Diceros bicornis minor: one gene and its partners. Each later gene encodes a partner of the first gene's protein in a complex. Links are inferred from orthologs where the notes say so. Each region holds a gene or a part of one and is shown on either strand. Other genes may lie near its edges.

The links.
Region 2: the proteins of SLC3A1 (region 1) and solute carrier family 7 member 13-like are in contact, whole or in part, in a cryo-EM structure (PDB 8WK6), measured with the Homo sapiens proteins. The link is inferred for Diceros bicornis minor from reciprocal best matches to the Homo sapiens genes SLC3A1 and SLC7A13. Residues at the interface, in NP_000332.2 of Homo sapiens: Pro64, Tyr65, Ala66, Gly67, Met68, Pro69, Lys70, Leu73, Phe76, Ser77, Arg81, Tyr82, Pro85, Arg86, Leu89, Phe90, Thr93, Ser96, Val97, Leu100, Ile101, Thr104, Ile107, Ile108, Ser111, Cys114, Leu115, Glu194, Asn195, Asp202; in NP_620172.2 of Homo sapiens: Ile120, Phe123, Phe124, Pro125, Ser126, Cys127, Leu132, Pro133, Cys136, Leu137, Leu139, Ala140, Met141, Trp143, Ile147, Arg151, Lys187, Thr265, Arg267, Asp281, Arg282, Glu450, Cys454, Tyr455, Gln457, Leu458, Leu459, Phe460, Asn461, Ile462.
Region 3: the proteins of SLC3A1 (region 1) and SLC7A9 are in contact, whole or in part, in a cryo-EM structure (PDB 6LID), measured with the Homo sapiens proteins. The link is inferred for Diceros bicornis minor from reciprocal best matches to the Homo sapiens genes SLC3A1 and SLC7A9. Residues at the interface, in NP_000332.2 of Homo sapiens: Pro64, Tyr65, Ala66, Gly67, Met68, Pro69, Lys70, Leu73, Phe74, Phe76, Ser77, Tyr82, Pro85, Arg86, Phe90, Thr93, Val97, Leu100, Ile101, Ala103, Thr104, Ile107, Ile108, Ser111, Cys114, His201, Asp202, Thr373, Glu374, Pro375; in NP_001119807.1 of Homo sapiens: Cys137, Phe140, Tyr141, Val142, Gly143, Cys144, Pro147, Ile149, Val150, Cys153, Leu154, Ala156, Ala157, Leu160, Phe161, Thr164, Leu168, Thr279, Thr281, Asp295, Arg296, Tyr299, Tyr343, Val346, Arg347, Lys467, Thr470, Met471, His472, Gln474.

The regions. Positions count from the first base shown.
Region 1 is NC_080751.1:40,748,071-40,755,869, reverse strand, and holds the start of SLC3A1 (neutral and basic amino acid transport protein rBAT), read left to right. Parts: upstream 1-4,735; 5' UTR 4,736-4,752; coding exon 4,753-5,182; intron 5,183-7,799. UniProt on the Homo sapiens protein: Acts as a chaperone that facilitates biogenesis and trafficking of functional transporter heteromers to the plasma membrane.
Region 2 is NC_080772.1:35,165,809-35,173,812, forward strand, and holds the start of solute carrier family 7 member 13-like, read left to right. Parts: upstream 1-4,956; coding exon 4,957-5,641; intron 5,642-7,358; coding exon 7,359-7,490; intron 7,491-8,004. UniProt on the Homo sapiens protein: Associates with SLC3A1/rBAT to form a functional heterodimeric complex that transports anionic and neutral amino acids across the apical plasma membrane of renal epithelium.
Region 3 is NC_080773.1:6,570,695-6,578,575, reverse strand, and holds the start of SLC7A9 (B(0,+)-type amino acid transporter 1), read left to right. Parts: upstream 1-4,800; 5' UTR 4,801-4,840; intron 4,841-5,137; exon of another isoform or gene 5,138-5,219; intron 5,220-5,756; 5' UTR 5,757-5,808; coding exon 5,809-5,895; intron 5,896-7,728; coding exon 7,729-7,876; intron 7,877-7,881. UniProt on the Homo sapiens protein: Associates with SLC3A1 to form a functional transporter complex that mediates the electrogenic exchange between cationic amino acids and neutral amino acids, with a stoichiometry of 1:1.

The DNA of each region.
Region 1 (7,799 bases):
AGTCAAATTCCAAGGATTATTGTCTTCATTCTCTTATTCCCAGTCTCCAGCCAACCACTAGCTGAAGGTTCAATATGCATGCACGAATGTGAGTGCCACTTTTTCCCCCACAATTCTGATTATATTACACATACTGTTCTAAAATATTTCTTCCACTTCACACTATATTTTAAACATTTTTTGTCTGTCAGCCCAGATAGATAAACTCATTCTTTGTAGGAGCTATGTGGTATTCCATTGTCTGAATATGTCATAATTTATTTAAATGATTCTGTATTGATGGTTATTTAGATTGTTTCCAATTTTGTTGCAGTGTTTGTCCTTGTATATATATCTTGTTGGTTACATCACCAAGATAAATTTTTAGCAGTGTAATTTCTGAGTCAAAGGTTATGCAATTTATAGTTTTGATATATACTCCCCAATTTTTCTATACAAAGATTGCACTAGTTCAAACTCCGGCCATGAATGTATGAGTCTGCTGGCTCCCTATATATTTTTTGATGCTGGATATTATCAAACTTTCTCATTTTTGCCATAATGGTAGTTTAAACATAGTATATCCTTTTTATTTTTGTTTCTTATTTCTTTAATTTTTAGTGAAATTTACATTTTATGTTTATTAAGCACTTGTATTTTTTTCCTGTCAACTGTTTACATCTTTTGTCTGTTTTTTTATTTTCTGGTGTTAATTTGTATAATTAATTTCTATATTATGGAAATTAGTTTGTCATATGTGTTAAAATATTTTCTTCTAGTTTGCCATTTGCCTTTTATCCTTGTGGATTGTTCTGTTTGCTTTCAATTTTTGGAATAAAATTTATCAGTTTTTTTCCATTGTGGTGTCTAGGTTTTGTATTTTGTATTATATTTAGAGAGGCTTTCCAAATCCAAGATTATTTTTTAAAATACACAAATTTCCGTCTAGTGTTTTTTACAGTTTTATTTTTCACTTTTGAATCTGATCCACATAGAACTTATTTTGATGTCAGGAATAAGGTAAGCTATATAGCTTTATTTTCTTTTCCCACTAGTTATCCAATTATCCGACGTCAGTTACTAAATAATCTTTCTTTTCCTCACTGATGTGAAATGTTGCCTTTTCTTATTCTAAATTCACTTCTGTATAGGGGTCTAGTTTGGTGACTTCAATCTGTTCAACTGATCTTTTGACCTGTCCTTTCTTTAGTATCAACTCTTTATTTTTCTGGAGTTTTATTTTAAAATCTGGCAAGACTAGCCTCAATTATTACTCTGAAAATGTTAAAATTCATGATATACATTGCCACATTACTTTCTAGAATTATTATGTCAATTTACGCTGGACCCTTGCCAGCACTATTATCTTTTAGAAGTTCTTTGCCAGTGTAATTAAAAATAAAAAGCCTATTTATTTCTCTGATATTAGTGAGTTGATTTGTGTGAAATGTCTATCTATATTCTTTTTTCAAGTTTTCTATTGAAATTATATTTTTAAATTGCTATGAAATTTCATATATATATACATAATGTCTAACAAAATATACATACTTTTGACATTAAAAACATAAGTTCTTTGGCATATTTGTTACCAATATATTTCACAATTTGTCATATGATGTTCAGTTAGTGTGTTTTGCAATATAATAAATTCAAAAATTTTATTCAATCTTCTTCTTCTTCTTTTCTTTCTTTTTTTTTTGGTGAGGAAGATTGGCCCTGAGCTAACATCTGGGTCCATCTTCCTCCACTTTATATGTGGGACACCACCACAGCATGGCTTGATAAGCAGTGCATAGGCAGTGCTTAGGTCCGCACCCAGGATCCGAACCCGCGAACCCTGGGCCACCGAAGCGGAGTGTGTGAACTTAACCACTACGCCACCAGGCCAGCCCCAAAGCAATCTTCTTTGGTAATTACTTTTATTGTTTAAAAAATCTTCCCACCAGGAGCCGGCCCGGTGGCGCAAGCAGTTAAGTGTGCGCGCTCCACTTCGGCGTTCACAGGTTCGGATCCTGGGTGTGCACCGACGCATCGCTTGGCAAGCCATGCTGTGGTGGCATCCCATATAAAGTGGAGGAAGATGGATACGGATGTTAGCCCACGGCCAGTCTTCCTCAGCAAAAAAAAGAGGAGGATTGGCAGATGTTAGCACAAGGGTTGATCTTCCTCACAAAACAAAAACAAAAACTTCCCACCAGAGACAAGATAATTATTCTAGATTGTTTTTTAAAAGATTTTAGTTTGCGTGTTCTGGAATTCCAAAGTATTGTTGTTATTGTCATTTTAAATAAAATGTAGAGAAGTTGAAATGGAACATTTCTGTCATGAGGGCATATTGCTATGATGTAGAGTTTTTTTGCATTTATACGATTGTACACTTAGAATTTAAGAATTTATAATTAAAAGTTATTTCTTGGGGCTGGCCCAGTGGCACAGTGGTAAAGTTAGGTGCACTCTGTTTTGGTGGCCCGGGGTTCGCAGGTTCAGATCCTGGGTGTGGACACACACTACTCATCAAGCCATGCTGTGGAGGCGTCCCATATACAAAATAGAGGAAGATGGGCACAGATGTTAGCTCAGGGTCACTCTTCCTCAGCAAAAAAAGAGGGCCAAGCTTTCTCACGAAAGGAAAAAAAGTTATTTCTTATAATTTGAAATTATCTGAAAATCATGGGTATTTTTGCACATTGTTTTTTCCCCAAATAGTAAGTGAATTTCAAGAATTAGCTCCTGTTGTGAAAATTATCATTATGTGTTTGAGATAAAGCATTTCAAGACATAAAAGTTAAATTCCTTTGATTTTTAAAGAATGCACAATATGCATAATTAGTAAAAATGAGAGATGCTGCTTATTGGATTCATTCAATGAGCTACATATTGGGATTTACTCATTTTTAAAAGTAACTTGTGCAGAGGCCCGCCCCGTGGCTGAGTGGTTCAAGTTGTGCACACTTTGCTTGGGCAGCCCAGGTTCGCAGGTTGGGATCCTAGATGTGGGATCCAAACCTCGCCAGCCATGCTATGGTGGCATCTCACCTACAAAATAGAGGAAGATTGGCACAGATGTTAGCTCAGGGCTAATCTTCCTCAAGCAAAAAAAGAGGAAGATTGGCAGCAGATGTTAACTTAGGGCAAATCTTCCTCAGCAAAAAAAAAAAGGGGGTGGGATTCACTTACTCATTAATTCCACAAATATTTATTAAGCACATACTCTGGGCCTGGCACTGGCCTAGAAGCTGGAGAATCAGCTGGAAATAAAACAAATAAAATTCCGCCCTACCCGCCCACCCTCTGCAAAAAGTAACTTGTTCAAAATCAAGTAGCTCATTTCTCTGTACCATATATTGCTTCTAAGTCACTCTACAAAACAACAGTAATGTTAGGATTTCAAATAACTTTCCTCATTTAAAAGAAAAAAACACTTCTTGTTATCTGATCAAATGATTCATAGGGCTGTTTAAGTGCCATTGATTAAACGAAAACTCTGAATCACCACATTCTTTGCAGGCTTGCAGAATCTTCTAAGAAAGCACACTTAACTTTAAAGAGATTATCTCAGGGTTGCAAATGCTGTATTTTACACTTGTCAATGATTAAACACCTCTTTAGTGCTTGTATTAAGAACTGTTTACCTATAGGAAAGCACTTGAACTTGCTAGACATGAATCCTTTCTCCCCACCAGCCCCAATCTCTGGAAAGTGCTTCCAAGAATGGGCAGCCATTTCCTTTTCTGAAAATAGGAAACAAGACTGAAGGCACCTGGGGGTGAATTGAGTGTACAAATGGGTATTTATAAGGTTTGCTTGAACTGAGATAAAATAAAATTAGCTTCAGTAACCTGGATTTGTAGGAAGAGAAGAGACCTTCAAATCAAAGAATACAAAAAAGCCTGTTTCCCCTTGCAAAATTTAGTATTTGTTTCTTTTTCTCACACCTAGCTAAAAGAAAAAATTTAAAGCTATTTTTTTTTATTGTGGTAAAATATACATAACATAAAATTTACTACATTAACCATTTGTAAGCGTACAATTCAGTGGCATTAAGTATATTTACATTGTTGTGCAACCATCACCACTATCCACCTCCAGAACTTTTTCATCATCCCAAATGTAAACTCTGTACTCATTAAATAGTTACTCCCCAGTACCCGCCTCCCCCGACCCCGCCACCCCTGGTAACTACCCTTCTACTCTTTGTCTTTATGAATTTGTCTAGGTGCCTCATATCGGTGGAATCATACAATATCTGTCTTTTTGTGTCTGGCTTATTTCACTTAGCATAATGTCCTCAAGGTTCATCCATGTTGTAGCATGTCAGAATATCCTTCCTTTTTAAAGCTGAATAATATTCCACTGTATGCATATATCACATTTTATTTGTCCATTCATCTGTTCATGACACTTGGCTTGTTTCCACCTTTTGACTATTGTGAATAATGTTGCTGTGAACGTTGGTTACTCAGTCAAGTAACATCTTAAGTTGCAGTGGAATCCTGCCTCTTCTTCCCATTTCCCTTCCTCTATGCCCCTGTTCCAGGCCAGGTCTGACCCCCTCAGTGTTGTGACTGTAGCTATATCAGCCTCAGGAGTGTAAACAGATTATTTTTAAAACCCCCTTTACCTTTACCCTTTCTTCCTGGGCTGGACTTTGTCCAGCCAGGTTTATTTATAAACCACGTAAAGCTTATTAACATGACCAAGCATTTCAGCCAGCTACCTTCCCACCTCTGTATTTCAGGAAGGCACTCCACAAGGATAAGACCGTGAGACATGGCTGAGGATAAAAGCAAGAGAGACTTCATCGGAATGAGTATAAAGGGAGGCCAAACAAACAACGGGTTTGTCCAAAATGAAGACATTCTAGAGAGAGACCCAGATCCAGGCAGCAGGGCTGACAGCCCACACCTCACCGCCGTGGGCATCCCGGGCTCCGCAGAGCCCGACCTGAAGGACATCCAGCCCTATGCAGGGATGCCCAAGGAGGTGCTGTTCCACTTCTCGCGCCAGGCTCGCTACCGGGTGCCCCGGGAGATCCTCTTCTGGCTCACTGTGGCTTCTGTGCTCGTGCTCATTGGGGCCACCATAGCCATCATCGCCATCTCCCCAAAGTGCCTCGACTGGTGGCAGGCGGGGCCCATGTACCAGATCTACCCGAGATCTTTCAAGGACAGCGATCAGGATGGAAACGGAGATCTAAAAGGTGTGTGCCTGGAGACAGTTTAGGGCGGGGCCAGGATGACATTGGTTTATGGCTCTCTGAATCCTTGAAAACGAGTTATGCCTGAGTTGTGCGGCTAAAGCACATTCCAGTATGACTGGCATGCCAAGTTTCTCCTTGTTTATGATATTTTAAAAAACCATTCAACAGAACGCAGCAATTCTCCCCTTATGATGAAAGGCTACTTGCTGGAGGCCTTTGAACCCCCAAAGAGTTGTTTAATTTATTGCTCAGTAAGTATACGTATGCTTAATTGGTCATCAATTCTAACTTCTTACACGGAGCAAGTTTCCTCTGAAATGTTGCCTGCTTCTGTGCACTTTATAGTTGATTATCTTTTGATATAGTTGATTGTCTGAGTAAATATAGTTGATGATTTATAGTTGAATATCTGATGTCTTTAAAAGGTGTAGGTTGAGTCTTTAAAGTTTAAATCTTGAGAAATGAAGGAAAGGAAAAAAGGCATAGCAGTGTATTGGTCATTACTTGAATAAAGGATTATTGAAAACAATACTCGTATTAGTAAAAAAAATAGAAGTAAAAAATTATTTTTTTGAAGTTATGCTAATAATTTCCTAGTGAGTTACATGTAGAACGTCCTTATAATTTATTGCTCAAACCAGGACACTTTTAAAAGTAAAATTATGCCACACAGCAGGCACAAACTGGAACCGTCCTGGGCAAACTGGTTGATATGGTCACCCTAGGTAAGGGCAATGAAAAGAAACAAATAAACTAACAAGGTAATGTTTGATGATGATATTTGGTTTCAACAAAATAAAACAGAATGATTTAATAGAGTGTGGGAAGTGGGAATGAGCTTAATCTAACTTTTAATGTTACATATAAACTCTTGAAATCTCCAACTTTCCTTAAAAACTGATAAAAGGCTTTTCTTTTTTGCGCTCATATCATTCTCTCTCTTTTTTAATCTTCCTGCATCTTCACTAATCGAAATACTATCTGTCCTTCAAGGAGCAGTTCCAACCCATTTCCTGCATTAGTCTGTATCTAACTCCTCTACCAGAGCGCGGCTCCCCTCCCTAGAGCTCCCGGGGTGCTTTGGAGCGTGTTTGTAGCATCCTCTGGTGCTGCCTTGGAACATACCTGGGTGACTTCCCTTCCACGCCCCCTACCCCCGCATGGCCCTAGCACCTGCTGCCTTTTATGCAGTGACTGCTTAACAAAAGTGATGTTTTGATGGAATACAGCTAAGATCCCTAAACTCAAAGATATGCGCCCCCACTTCCTGGCCCTCCCTTGTAATCTCCTTCGAGATAACCCCAAATTCCCAGAAACAGGGCAGCTTCTACTCAGCTCTTCATTTGTCATTTCCAATAACTTCTCCTTGAGGGACTGGCTCAATAGGTATTTGTCCTTGAGGTTGAGGGGATTTTGTTGTTATTGTCTGAGGAAACGAGGCCAGGTTTCAGTTTTTGGTGACTGCCTTCTGTCCCCTGGGTGTGGGCCTGGGATCCCTTGTTTACTTTGTGACCGTTCAGTCCCTTCGTTTTTATCATCCTCTTCCTTTGTGCCTGTTCGTAAGCTATATTGTATGGTTGTTCTGACTTAAATCAAAATCCTTTTGTTGCCGGTTGACCCTCTGTGAGTCTCACAGCCACCCATACGGAGGAACTGAGGTACAAAGAGGACGAAAATAAGCAGCCCGTTGTAAGGGAAGAGCCCAGATGCCAGGAGTCAGGTGACTGTGCTTTGGTCTCAGTGGCCTCCAGCCTGCTGTGTGATCCCTGACAGGCTCTGACTGTAGTAAGCCACATAGTGTCCCACAGACAGTTACTGGAGGTTGAGTACGAGATTCAAGTCTCTGAATCTGCATTTAGGACTCTGAACTAGAAGCAAAAAAACACGCTATCTGCTAATTATCTTACAAGGTTCCAAGTACAAAGAATTTCATTCCGGTATCTCTTCTCAGCCAAGTCTAGAATTCTCTTCTATATGAATTCTTGGCTTCAGCACTGTCCAAAGGAAACAGAAGGTGAACCACACATGTAACTGTAAATTTTCGAGGAGCCACATTAAAAAAATTAAAAAGAAACAGGTGAAATTAATTTTAATGTATTTTGTTTAATCCAGTATATCATTTCAACATATAATCAATATAAAAATATTAATAGGATATTTCACAGTCTTTCTTTGCATACTGGGTCTTCAAAGTCCGGCGTGTGTTTTACATGTATAGCACATCTCGGTTCAGACTAGCACATTGCAAGTGCTCAATAGCCGCATGTGGCAAGTGGCTGTCATACTGGACAGTTCAGTTTAGACCATGTGACCATCAGGGGCCATGTATTAGTCTTTGTACCTTGGCACTTAGCCCACCACCCGGCCTAGATTAGGTGCTCAAAAACCAGGTGGAGAATAAATTAACAATACTGTCATCTTGGTTTTAAACATAAAATATGAACAAGCCACAGACAGATTTTTTTTAATGTTATGCATGTATGTTAAAGGTCAAAGGTTACTACTAGAAGACTAATTTGATGCTGTTTGTAGAACTAGACCTTGCTATTGGAATTCCACCCAAATTCAACAAAATTCCAAATATTTCTGCCTCAATGTAAATATTTCGATCTTAGTC
Region 2 (8,004 bases), on another chromosome or scaffold:
ATCTGGTAGAACTCCTCGAGGTAAAACTCACAAAAGTGTGTGGGCCCCCGTGTAACTGGGTCCCCCTGGAGTTTTATCTCTCAGACTTGTCCACATAGAGCCTCTAGCGATTCATCAACTACGTTTTGGCTTTCGTATCCTGGTATGGTCCTTGCAGATGACTGCTTGTGAATTTCTGCTCAGGTAAGTTGTGATTCTCTGTATCTGCCTGTTTGTCTCTCCTGTTTGGGGGCAACAGCTTTCCCTCTGACGTCAGCGTTCTGACAGATCCAAGAGTTGTTGATTCTCCTGTTTGTTCAGCCTTAAAAAGCTGTTGTTAGGACGAAGTGAACACTTCTAAGCTGTCTACATGCCACATCAGAAATCAGAAGCCTTGATGTAATATATTAATTACCTTCCTGAGTTCCTTAGTTTGGGTGTTAATTTATAGTCCAGAGTCTCTTTCTGCTCCATTGAGCTGTTCAAATGGTTCAAGGATCAGCATCCTCTCCTCCTGCTAGTAGTACTGTTTTACACAGATTTTCTGTACAAATCTATTCCCTGACAGGATGAGGGCACATAGGAACCTTCAGCCCAAGCTCATTGCTTTCTCTATCTCCCAAAAGTTTCCAGTCCTTGAGAGCAGCACGTACATCACCTGAATCCAAAAGACCTGGATAATATGCTTTCAGGTTCTCCTTCTAACCTACACGTATCCTTTCCACACTCCTCTACTCTCTATTTTTTTTTTCCGTCACTCTATCTGGCTTTGGTATAAACAACAAAGAGAAAATATAAAAAGGGACCACACTTCATCCCCCACCCTCATTTCCAGCCATAGTGCTTCACATGTAACTTTTATTGTGAAAACAAGATCATTTAGAGAAAGGAGACAGGCAGAGTCTGTGCAACTCTAAAATTTGTTCTAGCGTTCCATGCTGTAAGAAGGAACATAGACCACTAGACCAGACTAAAATAAGGGCCTCAAAACACATGCTCTCCTAAAATCCAGTATAAATTCCTCATCTGAATTACGGAGTGACAGTAATAAAAGAATTTACTTTGTTATCTTTTGTGTGACCAGCTGTGCGACCTTCTTTCTCACAGACGGGATAGAGGCACTGGCACAAAGTTCACAGACACGGCCACTCTGTAGAATGGTGTATAGTCTTTCTGTGTGAACTGATTCTGAATGAGGATAAAAGTTTCCTGATCATCTTCCCCACCCTCAAGCTATGGATGTTAAACAATGCCAAAAGAATTTAAGGTCCACTGTGCCATTATTATTTTGTACACTGATGTATCTAGAGCACCTAAAACAACGTACATTTTAGCAGTTCATGAATATTTGTAGAACAATTGAGTGGACGGCAGAGAGGACATTGGTTTAGTATACCAAAACTTGGAGGCAGTGTTCTGGAGATACAGCTCAAAGAAGCACTCTAATAATGCAAAATTTAAAAATCCATTTTAATAGAGTCTGACTCCATTTTGATGTTTGCTGACAGCTTTTAAGCCTCATGACTCCCTTTCACTTTCTGCCCAACATCTGGGCAAGCTGATAAGAAAGGCTGGTGTTCCCTCCATCGGCACGAACAGGAACTTGGAATTACACAAGCTGCATCTCATTCAAATGGTAACTCGCATCCCAGCCCTACCCCCTAACCACCATAGAACCCCAAGCTAGTAACTCCTGCCTGCCGTCTCAGGACATTTTTGGACCTGCTTGGGACCCTGCCCTGTCCCCACAAGAAGTCTCATTATGAGACTAATAAGCACTTCCATACTCTCTTCGTGCATACATGTCATCATCAGTCTTGACATCTGAACCAAATTTTGAATAGCGGGAGTGGGGTATCCACCCCATCTCAGTGGAGTGGCTACATATTTGAAGATTAGTTTTTTATCCAAGAAAAAATCTTAATTCCATAATATATGCATGTTTAAAATAAACACTTCAAAATAAATTTTGAGTCCTTAAATAAATTCCTCAAAAATTTTCCAAAAGTACTTCGAGTGAAATTGACACCTCAGGAAGATGAATAACATTTATGCCATGGCTTCACCTATTCCCTGGCATACACTTATTTCAGCAATGAGTATTTCAGTTTGAGAGGTATAGATGCAATCCCATTCCATTAACTTATAAATGAAGGAAATTGATGCAGAGAAAACAAAGGGAAATGTCTAAGGTTACACAAGTCAGCCTGAACAGAGATCATACGACTCCAATATGTCAAATATTCCCCAAATCTAGTTTATTATTTTTATTTTCATATACCTAACACAACATCTAATGCAATCAAGGAGTTTCTATAAGGTATTCAGAAGCATGGTCAAACATAAACAGCAATTACAAATTACTATCTTAGGAATTAAAAATATAGAGACAAAGGGAGAGTATCGAGTAAACAGCTACAAAAGGCAATGAATATCTTTTCATGTGCCTGTCAGCCATTTGTATATCTTCCTTGGGAAAATGTCTATTCAAGTCCTCTGCCCATTTTTTAATTGGATTGTTTGGTTTTTTGCTCTTGAGTTGTGTGAGTTCCTTATATATTTTGGATATTAACCCCTTATCAGATAGGGGGTTTGAAAACCATCAGATGGATGGTTTGAAAATATTTTCTCCCTTTCCATTGGTTGCATTTTCATTTTGTTGATTGCTTCTTTTGCTGTGCAGAGTTTTTTAGGTTGATGTAGTCCCACTTGTTTATTTTTTTGCTTCCATTGCTTGCACTTTTGGTGTGATATCCAAAAAATCATTGGTAAGATCAATGTCAAGGAGCTTCTTTTCTGTATTTTCTTCTAGGAGTTTTACAGCATCAGATCTTATGTTTAAGTCTTTATCCATTCTGAGTGAATTTTTGTGAGTGTTGTAAGATAGGGGTCCAATGTCTTTCTTTTGCCTGTGAATATCCAGTTTTCCCAACACCGTTTATTGAAGAGACTATTTTTTCCCATTGAGTGTTCTTGGCTCCTTTGTCAAATACCAGTTGACAGTATACGCATGGGTTTATTTCTGGGCTTTCAATTCTGTTCCATTGGTCTATGCATGTTTTTATGCCAGAAAAAGAACTATAGACTATTCCCAAGGAGTTTTGCTTGTAACTGTAGTAATATGTCTAGAGATCTTCAGAATACTGTTCTCACAGCCAAGAAATGAATTAGAGTCTAGTTACCTGGTTGAAATACCTGCCTGCACTGACACAACTTTCATGGTTTATATTGTCATTGAATTGTGTTTGGCTTTTTGTGGCTTTACAGAATTATTTATTTATAACTAAAATCATAAATCTATATAAATATGTATGTAAAAATATATAAAATTTAATTTCAATTAATCTATTGTTTACTTAATTATTTAATTAATTAATTCAAGTGAATAGCTGGGTGACCCCAGCAAATTATTTAATTTTTTATCCCTTAATTTCCTCATCTATCTCTACTATATCATGAGGTGGCTGATTTGACTTAACGAGTTAATGTAAGTGTTAAACATGGTTCTCAGCACATAGTAGGTGTCATGTAAATGTTGGCTATTATTAGTATTACCCTGTTGAAGCTCAAAGCCAGTACATAAAAAGTCTTGGTTTATATACGTCTTCCCTAGACAGGAGCCTCTGGAGGATAAGAGTCAGTAATTCAACAGATTTACTGAGACATACTGCATACCCTGAGCTGGACCAAGGAGCAGGGTTACAATGGTGGACGAGACCCAGACCATGTCTTAGTCATCCTGTACATGCGTTGATTAGCACAATACCTGGCAAAAAGCAGATGCTCAAAAGAGTGTGCCCTCAGCAGTAAGTAGCTGGAAATATAGAAAAAATAAATCACGTCGAAAAGATGAATCATGCCCCTATAAGAATGTTGACAGGGGAAATGTAAAACTCTAAATATGTGTACCAAGGGATCTGCTTGTTGAGAAGTCCGTCTAGTTTGCAACTAACTGCAAAATGTTTTCAAAGAACCCTAGAGACACTGAAGCACTCTGTATATAATGTAGATAGTGAGAACTAAAATAACCAGATTATGAAACTAACAATAATGGATCCCTAATATACATTAGGCACACTACTAGGAGCTTTTTATTAGTATTTGCTCTATAGATAAATTACCTCATTTAATCCTACTGAAGAAAAAAATAAGGTAGGGAACAAGATGGGGATTATCAGTACCATTTTTTTTTTTTTTTTTTATGAGGAGATCAGCCCTGTGCTAACATCTGCCAATCCTCCTCTTTTTTTTGCTGAGGAAGACAGCCCTGGGCTAACATCCGTGCCCATCTTCCTCCACTTTATATGGGAGGTCGCCACAGCATGGCCTGACAAGCAAGCAGCGCGTCGGTGCGCGCCCGGGATCCGAACCAGCAAACCCCGGGCCCCCGCAGCGGAGCGCGCGCACTTAACCGCTTGCGCCACCGGGCTGGCCCCTATCAGTACCATTTTTAAAAGAACACAATTGAAAATCAGTAAGTTAAGTACATAGATTTGCTAGTAAGTGGCAGATGTGTGTGATTCAAACCAAGATCTGCTCACAAATGGCACATGTGGTTCCAACCTTGCACTCTTTGTCATTCTACAAACTTCTTTATGGTACAAACTTAAAAAATTACTTCTTTAATGGTCAAAATGAATGAGCTTACATATCCATAGAAGAATCTTGAATTGGAATTTTTTTTCTCTCACTCCCAATTAGCTGTGTCTAACTTGTTGTGCACAACTTTTTAAAAGCTTAACGTGTAAAACATTTTAACTCTAATATCAAGATCTCAGAAACTTTAGTTCAATTAACTCACAGGTTAATTTTTTTTTACTATGTTAGGTGCTGTAACAAAATACATTTGGCTAAGAGAGGAGGAGGAGAGCAAAGTGCTTGACTATAAGAAGCCCGGCTGAAGCCTTTCAGAAAGACAACAGGGTAAAAACTGTGAATTAGTGTCAGCTTTTAAAGCAAACTTTCAGATTTAAGAAAATGAAGAAAAGGGAGAGTACACAGCTTCAAAGGGTAATAGGATATTTCCACGGAACAATTTTCTTATTCAGTGTCATAATAGGTGCAGGGATATTTATTGCCCCTAAAGGGGTATTAAAATACTCCTCGCTCAACGTGGGGGTCTCCCTAAGCATTTGGGCTGCTTGCGCCATAGTGTCTATGATGGCTGCCCTGAGTCACGCAGAGCTGGGGACCACCCTCCCTAGAAGTGGAGCCCAGTACTGTTTCCTCAAGAGATCCCTTGGACCCTTTATTGCTTTCTTCTACATCTGGGTCACTCTATTTAGTGCGCCGGCAGGCATTGCTGCACGTGGCTTGTTACTAGCAGGGTATATCATGCAGCCCTTCTATCCTGGATGTTTCGTTCCTGAGATGCCAAAGAAATGTTTGGCGTTGGCCATTTTATGGTGTTTGGGAATTCTGAATGCTCGAGGAGTGAAAGAAGTGGCTTGGTTTCAGACTGTCAGTACGGTGGTGAAAATGACAGTTCTCTGCTTCATCTCCATAACCGGAATCGTGCTGCTGGTGAGAGGAAGGAAAGAGAACCTCGCCAGGTTTGAGAACGCTTTCGATGCCGAAGTTCCAGGAGCCTCCCAGATTGCAGAAGCCTTCTTACAAGGATTATATGCATACTCAGGCTGGGGAGTCCTCGTTCGAATAGCAGGTAAAATTAATTTTTAAATTATAAAATCTACCACTAGGCTAAAAACACATTAACATTCAAGCACCTTAATTCTAAGAAAGAAATACTACATCGTTTTGATATGATGTGTTTCTGTCTTATTTTATCAGGTGCGTGGAAACACATTAAACCCTCTACAAATGTGGCTTTCCAACTTTGGAAAGTGAAATATTTTCCAGGCATTTACAATTAAAACAGGGGAACACAAAACAGAAGCAGCTTAAAGACCCCATAGCAATTGCACTTTTTTATTGAGCAAATATTTTAATAGTCTATATTTCCTAATTATAACTGATTCTTATCAGAGAAAATATTTAAATACAGAAAATATAAATTAAAATAAAGATTACTTGCATGTACACACATGCAAGGATCACTGTACTTATACTCTAATAACTTTATTTTACTTAAAGTACATAGAGAGAATTTACAATTATTATTAAATATAAATGGTTTTTGATGAATACACAGTGTTCTATCATATGAAATTTGACTATTACTTAAATGTTTTCCCTTTGTTGGATCCAGAGCTGTTGCCAGTTTTTCACTTTTACGTTTTATACTTATTGTTGCAATCAGCATCCTTCTACATAAATCTTTGTGGATTTCTCATTGCTTTATTAGAAAAAAATCTTGAAATGATATTACTAAGTGAAGCATATAAGTATTTAGAAATGTGCTGAGAAATTGCCTTCCAGAAAGGCTCTACAAATAGTTCTTTTAGTGTGAATTAAAATGACTACACTTGGCATTATTATACTTTTTGTATTCTTTTGTTATTAGATTTGTGGAAATCAAATCTCAGTGTTGTAACTCACTTTTTCTTCGATTACTAATGGGAGGAAAGAGTTTTGCAATTATTCATGACCATTTATATTTCTTTCTTGTAAGAATACAGGCAAATATTTTCCCCAGTTTGTTCTTTGCTTCTTATTTTTTTCATAAGATTTTTAAGACTATAATTTTAATACTTATAGTATCAAACTATGAATATTTTAATTTTGCCTTGTTTTCATACTTCAAAAGTCTTTCCCCATCTCAAGATTTAGATAATATATATCTGTGCTTCTTTCTCTAAATCTTTGTGGTCTTACTTTTACATTTTACTCTTTCATACATATGAATTCTTTTAAGGGAGTTGTATAGTGTGAGGTAATAACATAACTTTATATTTTCCAAATAGTTAAACACTTGTGTTAATCTTGGTGTTGGCAATATATACTCAAGTTTAATCCCAGTTTTATCTAATCTAGAGACTTAATCCAAAGAGTGAAAAGAGCAAGGAGTCTACACTAACTCCTAGAATATTGTGACCAGATTAACAGATCAGCTATTCCAATCCTTCATTAACGCGTAGTTACAATTCTACCAAGTTGGCCACAAGATAGGGGAAGGTTCCCTCCAGTTCTCCTGGACTACAGTTCAGGGTTTCTGAGCTGTTCTCTTCTCATCCAAGAGGCTCATGTCGAGTATCTCAGGGAGACAGCATTGAAACCTCAGAATTTAACACAAATCTATTGCTACTAGAATCAGTAATTCACCTGGGACATGGTAAATAATATTCAACAAAAATGAGCTCCTTCCATTTGCAGAGTCATTTCTTTTTCTTATTATATGTTATATTGAAACCACTTTCAAATGTTATAGAATTAGTCATTTTTTTATGTTATGGGTTTTTTTTTTTTTTTTTTTTTTGCAGGAGAGCTGAAAAACCCCGGTGAGAATATCCCCAAATGTCTGATTACTGCACTTACCCTTGTAGCCTTGACCTACCTACTGGTTAACATTTCCTACCTGGCAGTCCTGACTCCAAAGGAGATCATGTCCTCAGGTATGGCTGCACAGAACCAGAGGGAAGACACCCTCCGTCCCCTTCTGCCATTCTCCTGGGTGTTTCTAATGTACAGTGGATCTTTTTGCATACCTTAAGAGAATTATGCTAGATTGGTTCATGTCTGGATTATTTATTTATTTATGTAAAGTTAAAAGTTTAAAAGGTCAAGCAATCTTTAATTTTGAGCTTATATTAAAGAGTAGGGGCCGGCCCCGTGGCTTAGCGGTTAAGCGCACGCGCTCTGCTACTGGCAGCCCGGTGTTCGGATCCCGGGCACGCACCAACGCACCACTTGTCCCACCATGATGAGGCGGCGTCCCACATACAGCAACTAGAAGGATGTGCAACTATGACATACAACTATCTACTGGGGCTTTGGGGGGAAAAAAAGGAGGAGGATTGGTATAGATGTTAGCTCAGAGCCGGTCTTCCTCAGCAAAAAGAGGAGGATTAGCATGGATGTTAGCTCAGGGCTGATCTCCCTCACAAAAAAAAAAAAAAGAGAGAGAGA
Region 3 (7,881 bases), on another chromosome or scaffold:
GCAGAGGTGGATGTGGGCAAATAGAAATAAGATTACTAAAAATGGTAGCTCTTTATTAAAGAGCATTCAAGACCTGTGATTACTCAGAACCCTCCTTCCCTGACCCTGCCAGCTAATATACCTTTTCATCACGCGAGAACACTGAGGTTGAAAGGTGCAATGGTGACAAGGTGTGGGATTAGGGAGCAGGACGGGGAGTCACATTTTAGAAAATAATTAGATGAAACTCTGAAATGGAGTACTGGTTTCCCCAAGAGGATTATCCACAAAAAATTCCGTTACTTGGAAAACATAAAAATGATGAACACACCAAAAGCAAAGGCAACAAAAGCAAAAATAAACAAATGGGACTAGATCAGACTAAAAAGCTTCTGCACAGCAAAGGAAACCATCAACAAAGAGAAAAGGCAACCTACAAAATGGGAGAAAATATTTGCAAATCATATGTCTGATAAGGGGTTAATATCTAAAATACATAAAGAACTCATACGACTCAATAGCAAAAAACAATCCAATTAAAAAATTAGCAGATGGGCCGGCCCTGTGGCTTAGTGGTTGAGTGTGCACGCTCCGCTGCTGGCGGCCCAGGTTCGCATCCCGGGCGCGCACCGACGCACAGCTTCTCCAGCCATGCTGAGGCCACATCACACATACAGCAACTAGAAGGATGTGCAACTATGACATACAACTATCTACTGGGGCTTTGGGGGAAAAATAAATAAATAAATAAAATTATAAAAAAAAAAAATTAGCAGAGGATCTGAATAGACATTTTTCCAAAGAAGACACAGATGGCCAATAGGTACAGGAAAAGATGTTCAAATCAAGCGTTTGTGAGTATGTGGAGAAAAGGAAGCCCTGGTGCACTGTTGGTGGGAATGTAAACTGGTGCAGCCACTATGGAAAACAGAATGGAGGACCCTCAAAAAACTGAAAATAGAACTACCATATGATCCAGCTATCCCACTTCCAGGAATATATCTGAAGAAAAAAAAAAACACTACGTTAAAGAGATATCTTCCCCTCCATGTTCATTGCGGCATTATTTACAATAGCCAAGACATGGAAACAACCCAAGTGTTCATCTATGGATGAATGGATAAAGATGTGAGATGTATATATATATATATATATATATATATATATATGCACACACACACACGATGGAATATTATTCAGCCATAAAAAAGAAGGAAATCTTGCCATTTGCAACAATATGGATGGACTTTGAGGGCATTATGCTAAGTGAAATAAGTCAGACAAAGACAAATACTGTATGATCTCATGTATATGTGGAATCTGAAAAACCAAAAAACAAACAAACTGAACTCATAGATACAGAGAATAGATTGGTAGCTGCCAGAGGTGGAGGTGGGGGGTGGACAAAATGGGTGAAGGGGGTCAAAAGGTATAAACTTCCAATAATAATACTGTATTGTATATTTGAAAGTTGCTAAGACAGTAAATCTTAAAATTTCTCATCACAAGAAACAAAAAATTTGTAGCTATATGTGGTGACGGATGTTAAATAGGTTTATCGTGGTGATCATTTAGTAATATACACAAATATCGAATCCTTATGTTGTATACCCAGAACCAGTGCTGTATGTCAGTTATATCTCAATGAAAAAAGATGATGGACAAAGTTCTAAGGTAGAATTGCACTATCCCAATAGTTCTTGGATATATGTAGATACAGATTGTTTCCCAGATAAGATCTTAAATTGTGCTTTCCTTGCTAATTGTTTTATGGTTCGACTGTAAATCCTCGACACTTGAAGACTCTGCACATTCCACTGACTCTTCATGGGTTCTTCTGGCTGGAATTCAGGTAGGTAAGTAAACACCTGTTATATGGGATCCCCCCGAAGCCTTGAACCACGGTCGGCAGCAGTGGGAAGGAGTATAGGACCGAGTGAACTTAGGAAGAACAGAGGAAGGTTGGAAAACTCGAAGGCAGGTCTGGAGCAAATTTAAGTGGTAAAGGAAGATTCAGCATCTGTCTGGATGGTAGACTTTGCCTCTGTCGTGGAGGAAGGTGAATCAGAGGACAAGACACCAAGGGCTATGGAGAAACGGACTTCACCCCAGGCTCAGCGTGTCTTTAGAAAACATCACAGGAGAGGGAAGCAAATATGTACCAAATATAAGACGATAAAATAACATGCAGATGGTGTTACTATCTTCAAACTGCGAGCATCTGCAATTGGAAAAAGCACAGTGTGAAAGTGAAGGTCAAAGCTTTAGCAGAAACTTCAGGAATAATGGAGTTGTATGGAAAAATAATATGAAACTTCCTAGGAAATGAGCTGTAAGAGGGAATCGACTGCATGTGGTAAAACTTCAAAAAAACCTTAATTAGTTGATAACTCTCTCTGCTGGGGCAAAACAAAAAGAAGAAACAACAGCTCTTTTTTTTTTAATTAATTAATTTATTTTTTATTGCAGTAACATTGGTTTATAACATTGTATAAATTTCAGGTGTACATCATTATACTTCTATTTCTGCATAGATTACATCATGTTCACCACCCAAATACTAATTACAACCCATCACCACACACCTGTGCCTAATCATCCCTTTCACCCTCCTCCCTCCCCGCTTCCCCTCTGGTAACAATCCAATCTCTGTCTCTATGTGTTTGTTTGCTGTTGTTTTTATCTTCTACTTATGAGGGAAATCATACGGTATTTGACCTTCTCCCTCTGACTTATTTCACTTTGCATGATACCCTCAGTGTCTATCCATGTTGTCACAAATGGCTGGATTTCATCGTTTCTTATGGCTGAGTAGTATTCCATTGTGTATATATACCACATCTTCTTTAACCATTCGTCCCTTGATGGGCACTTAGGTTGCTTCCAAGTCTTGGCTATTGTGAATAACGCTGCAATGAACACAGGGGTGCGTGTATCTTTACGCATTGGTGTTTTCAAGTTCTTTGGATAAATACCCAGCAGTGGAATAGCTGGATCATATGGTGGTTCTATCCTTGATTTTTTGAGGAATCTCCATACTGTTTTCCATAGTGGCTGCACCAGTTTGCACCTCCACCAGCAGTGTATGAGAGTTCCCTTCTCTCCACATCCTCTCCAACACTTGTTGTTTCCTGTCTTGTTAAATATAGCCATTCTGACAGGCGTGAGGTGATATCTCATTGTAGTTTTGATTTGCATTTCCCTGATAGTTAATGATGATGAACATCTTTTCACATCCCTGTTGGCCATCTGTATATCTTCTCTGGAGAAATGTCTGCTCAGGTCTTTTGCCCATTTTTTTAATTGGGCTGTTAGTTTTTTTTTTGTTGAGATGTATGAGTTCTTTATATATTTTGGAGATTAACCCCTTATCAGATATATGGTTTGAAAATATCTTCTCCCTATTGTTAGGTTGTCTTTTCGTTTTGTTGATGGTTTCCTTAGAAACAATAGCTTTAAGAAAAGAAATGTTCACCATGGACCGAGTATTCACTGAGGTAGATTTCTGACCCTCAACAAAGGATCCTCACACCCAGATGTTCCCAAATCGGCACTTGGCAGAGGCCCAGGAAGACCAGGGAGCCTCTGCATCAACAGAAGGCTGAAGTTTAATGCGCAGCCTTCCGCAATCCCTCAGTTCCACGGGGGCGGCCAGTACGAGCCCCTCCTACAGATCTAGAACGTGATGTTTAGAGAGAAGATAAGTGACCCCAAAGCCATGTGGCTGGTGGCCGGCCCTCCTACCCTCTACCCCCTGCCCTCTTCAGGGGGTTTCTGTTAAAATATCCACCCTCTGGGGGCAACCTTGATGCAGGGAGTATTCTGGAGTGCTTTGTAAATATGGATGGGCCAGATGCTAGTTGAGTGCTGCTGTGTTAGCAAATACTTCTAGGAGTGACTCAAACGAGCCTGGGGCAGGTTCTCCTGGGGCAGCAGGTGCTGCCCTGCCCTCTGACTCCACGATCTGGGCAGATGAGCACTCTGCCCGGGGCTGGGGCTTGGCGGGCAGGGGAGCAGGCATGGCCCCACTAAGGGGGCAGCCAACAAACTTCTAAATCAGGACCCTGACTCTGGGACAGCAGGGGTCCCCACATCCTCCAGATGGCTTTAAGAGACGACCCCGAGAAAGCTGCCCTTCTCTCAAGTCCGCCTGCCCCAAAGTGCTCCCAAAGTGACCCCCAGTGACCCACCCAGCTCTGTCCTGTGACCTTTGGTCTCCTCTGGAGATCTGGGATGCTGTTCAATTTACCCCAGTGCAAAACTGCCGGCGATAAGAGCAACAATGCTTCAGGCTGGGCTCTTCCGCCCAGAGGAAGGCCTTATCTGAGATAAGGGATTAGAGCTGCCACCTGAGCCGCCTTTGTGGGGAGGGGCAGGTCTGCCCCCAGCCCCTCTGAGTGCAGCTGGAGCCCCTCTGCTGCCTCTCTGAGAAGGCCAGATCTCTGTGGCCTTGACGGACTTTGTTCCCTCTGGGGCCTCAGTTTCCCCATTGGGTGTGTGAGAGTGGAACTGATGACAATTTGTGCCCCTTTTCCACTCTACAGTTGGGCCAACGTGAGCCTGGGCTACTGAACAGCAGCACCACCAAACTGAAGGAGCGCCTGGCCCGAGCCGCACGCACAGACGGGGCAGGCCCTGCCGGAGGCCTCACTGCTGTGTCTGAATTCTGCCAAGCTCTCCTGCCGTTCCAGCTGGTGCCCAAACCCTGTCACTGCCGAAGTGAGTGGAAAAGACTCGCGCACCGTCCTGCTGGCCTGCTCAGCACCAGGTGGAAGGCAGACGGGCACTCGGGGAGGAAAACGTCTGGGCTGACCCGTGGTTACCTGCGCGGCGTGGCTGCTGGCGCTGCCTCACTGGAGCTGTAAGTAGAGCCCATTAAGGTCATAAAGAGTGAGTTCCAAAGTTTATCTCCGCTGGTTCCAGTCTTTGGAGAGATTTCTCCTTACATGATGCAGCTGATTTGGGGGAATCTGGTTAAGGAAAAAAATTAATCTAGACACGAACAAAATGAAAAATATTTTTGGAGGAAACAGGTTTGCCCGCCCCTCCCCTTTTTGTGTGATGTATCCAAGCTTCATTGCTAAAAAAAGGTGTTTAATAATTACCTTTGTTGACCTCTGTACCTTCTGGCTTCCTCTGCTCCTGGGCACAAGACATGGCCATTCCCAGGGCGCGACAGTGCAGACGCAGGCGGTCGGCCGCCACGGGCAGCTCCCCGGCTCTGCGAGGTCAGGAAGAAGGTAAGGGTGATGGGTGGGCTCCCCGCTCGCCTGGCCAGGGCCTGGAGGGGACTTTATTAGAGAAAGGGGACAGGAAATGACCATCAGCTAGTTCAGACTTGAGCTTATTTTCCGCAGCAACTTTTTTCATTCCTTGCATCAGTCAATGGAAAAACATCTACACTGGGGGTCTATTACGCATGAGGTGCCCTAATCTTGGGAGTAATCATGAGAAACTCTGTGGACTGTGGAGGCAGAATGATTTTGAAGCGTGTCACTGCTGAGAATTAGGAGACAGCACAGGCGGTGAGCCTGGAGGCTTGGGGCTCTGACTGGGAAGTCTGGAGACGAGCACAGAGCCTCCTTTGCAGTCAGAGGCCTGAACAGCAGTCAGGGTGAATTGTTATTCCTGGGATGGAGCAGATTATCCCTAAGGGATCGACAAGTGTACTTTCCTGAAACAGTAGCTAACAACCTGCTTTGGGAGTCAGTTCCACGACGCAGATGCGTTAGCTGAGCAGAGCCCTCGCTGACCTGCAATTGTGTCTTGTCTGCCAGAGCATTTGCCGAATCAAGGCCCGCGCCCTCCTAGAACCGGCAGGAGGGAAAAATGGAGGAGACCAGCCTGAGAAAAAGGAGAGAGGATGAGAAGTCTGTCCAGAGTAATGAACCCAAGAGCACAACTCTCCAGAAGGAGGTAAGGCTGTCCTCCGCGCGGGCCCTGCCCAGGGCAAGCAGGGTGTGTTAATGTTAATGAGCAGCGGCAGGCAGAGAAGTCCCAATGGTCTCTGATTTGTAAAGTACGTTTCTAACTGAACAATTCTTTGGACTTACCTCTTTCCCTCTCACCAGCAAACTCAACATTTTTTTTTTTGTGAGGAAGATCAGCCCTGAGCTAACATCCATGCTAATCTTCCTCTTTTTGCTGAGGAAGACCGGCTCTGAGCTAACATCTATTGCCAATCCTCCTCCTTTTTTTTTCCCCCAAAGCCCCAGTAGATAGTTGTATGTCATAGTTGCACATCCTTCTAGTTGCTGTATGTGGGACGCGGCCTCAGCATGGCTGGAGAAGCAGTGCGTCGGTGCGCACCCGGGATCCAAACCCGGGCCCCCAGCAGCAGAGCGCGCACACTTAACCACTAAGCCACTGTGCCGGCCCAAACTCAACATTTTCTTGTGACGTTAATACATGTGTGCTTCTGTGTGCTGGGCAAGCGTCCGGAGGGGTCCAGTAGCTGCTCAGGGATGGTCAGAGAGGACCTTCTGATGTGCGAGTCTCCTCTATAGCATCTTCTTCACCAAATGTCCGTTCCTCTCATGTTTGAATACCTCCAGTGATGGGAAGCTCCACTTAGGTCTCAGCGAGTCTAGCTGGGGTGGCGTGTCTGACGCGGGTGTGACATAGGTGACCCCTCTGAGTTGGAATGCAGTAAGGGCTGGACTTGGAGGTGCCTGCGGCCTAGAGGGGCCAGAGCGTGTGGTAGGTGGGCTGGCACTGGGCCTGCAAGGAGCGGGAGCTGTGGAGGGCGGGGAGTGGAGGCAGAAGGTGCTTGATGCTCCACAGGGTGGAGAGCGAGTCCCAGGGGATGGCGGCAGCAGGGGGTGGGCGTGGAGGGACAAGCTCCAGGCTCCTAAAATGCGGAGCGAGGGCCCCAGAGCAAGATTAGGAGGGCAGGACGGGTGGGCTGAGCTGTGGGCAGAGCCTCCGGGAGCTCCGTGCCTGGCAGCAGAGGGGATGGAGGAAGGATCTGGGGGTTGACAAAAGGCAGTGGCATGGCTTGACTGTGGGTTGGCCTAGGATCTTGGGTCCCCAGGAGTCAGCTCATGGGCAGCAACACTCTCCCTTTTGGCCATGAAAGGAGCACGGCTGAGCTAACCCTAGACAGCCAGCTTCGGGGTGAGTGCAGACCTCAGCAGGAGGAAGGATTCTGGAGGGCCCCGGGGTGTCGGTGGGCCAACCCGGGCGTCAGAGGAGGAAAGCTGAGACTGCCTGGGAGCTCCCCCTCCCTGAGGCCAGACTGAAGCGGAGGCTGCTCCTGGCACCACTCCTCCAATCGTGTGTGTCCCCTGGCGACCCGATTCCTTGTTCTCTGGGCTCCAACCCTGACCGCAGCCTCTGCCCAGACAGGCGAGCGCCTGCACGTTCACCTCGGGCTCCAGAAAGCAGGCCAGTGGCTTCCGAGGGCTGACGTTACACGGAGGGGCCTGAATCAGGCATTTTCTTCCTTTAAAGAAGTTTTTTTCCCTTGATTCGTGTCTAATTTACATGCAGTGAAATGTGCAGATCTTTAGTTCCCTCAGGAGGGCCCCCAACCCTGAGTGTCTCTCCCCGTGGACTAGTTTTGCCTACTACAAGTAAAGCCCCAGAAGCGGGCCCTGGTGTCATCCCTGCAATGGCCCGGGGCAAATCCCCCGGCACACGGGCCTGCCTGGGGCCGCGCCGGCCGCGGGAGGGAGAGGGCTGATGGGGCCATCCGAGCGGGAGCCGGGCGGCAGCATGAACTCTCCTCTTCCTTCCTCTCTGTCCCAGGTGGGCCTGATCAGCGGCATCTGCATCATCGTGGGCACCATCATCGGCTCGGGGATCTTCATTTCCCCCAAGTCTGTGCTCCGCAACACGGAAGCCGTGGGGCCCTGTCTCATCATATGGACGGCTTGTGGGATCCTTGCAACACTGGGTAAC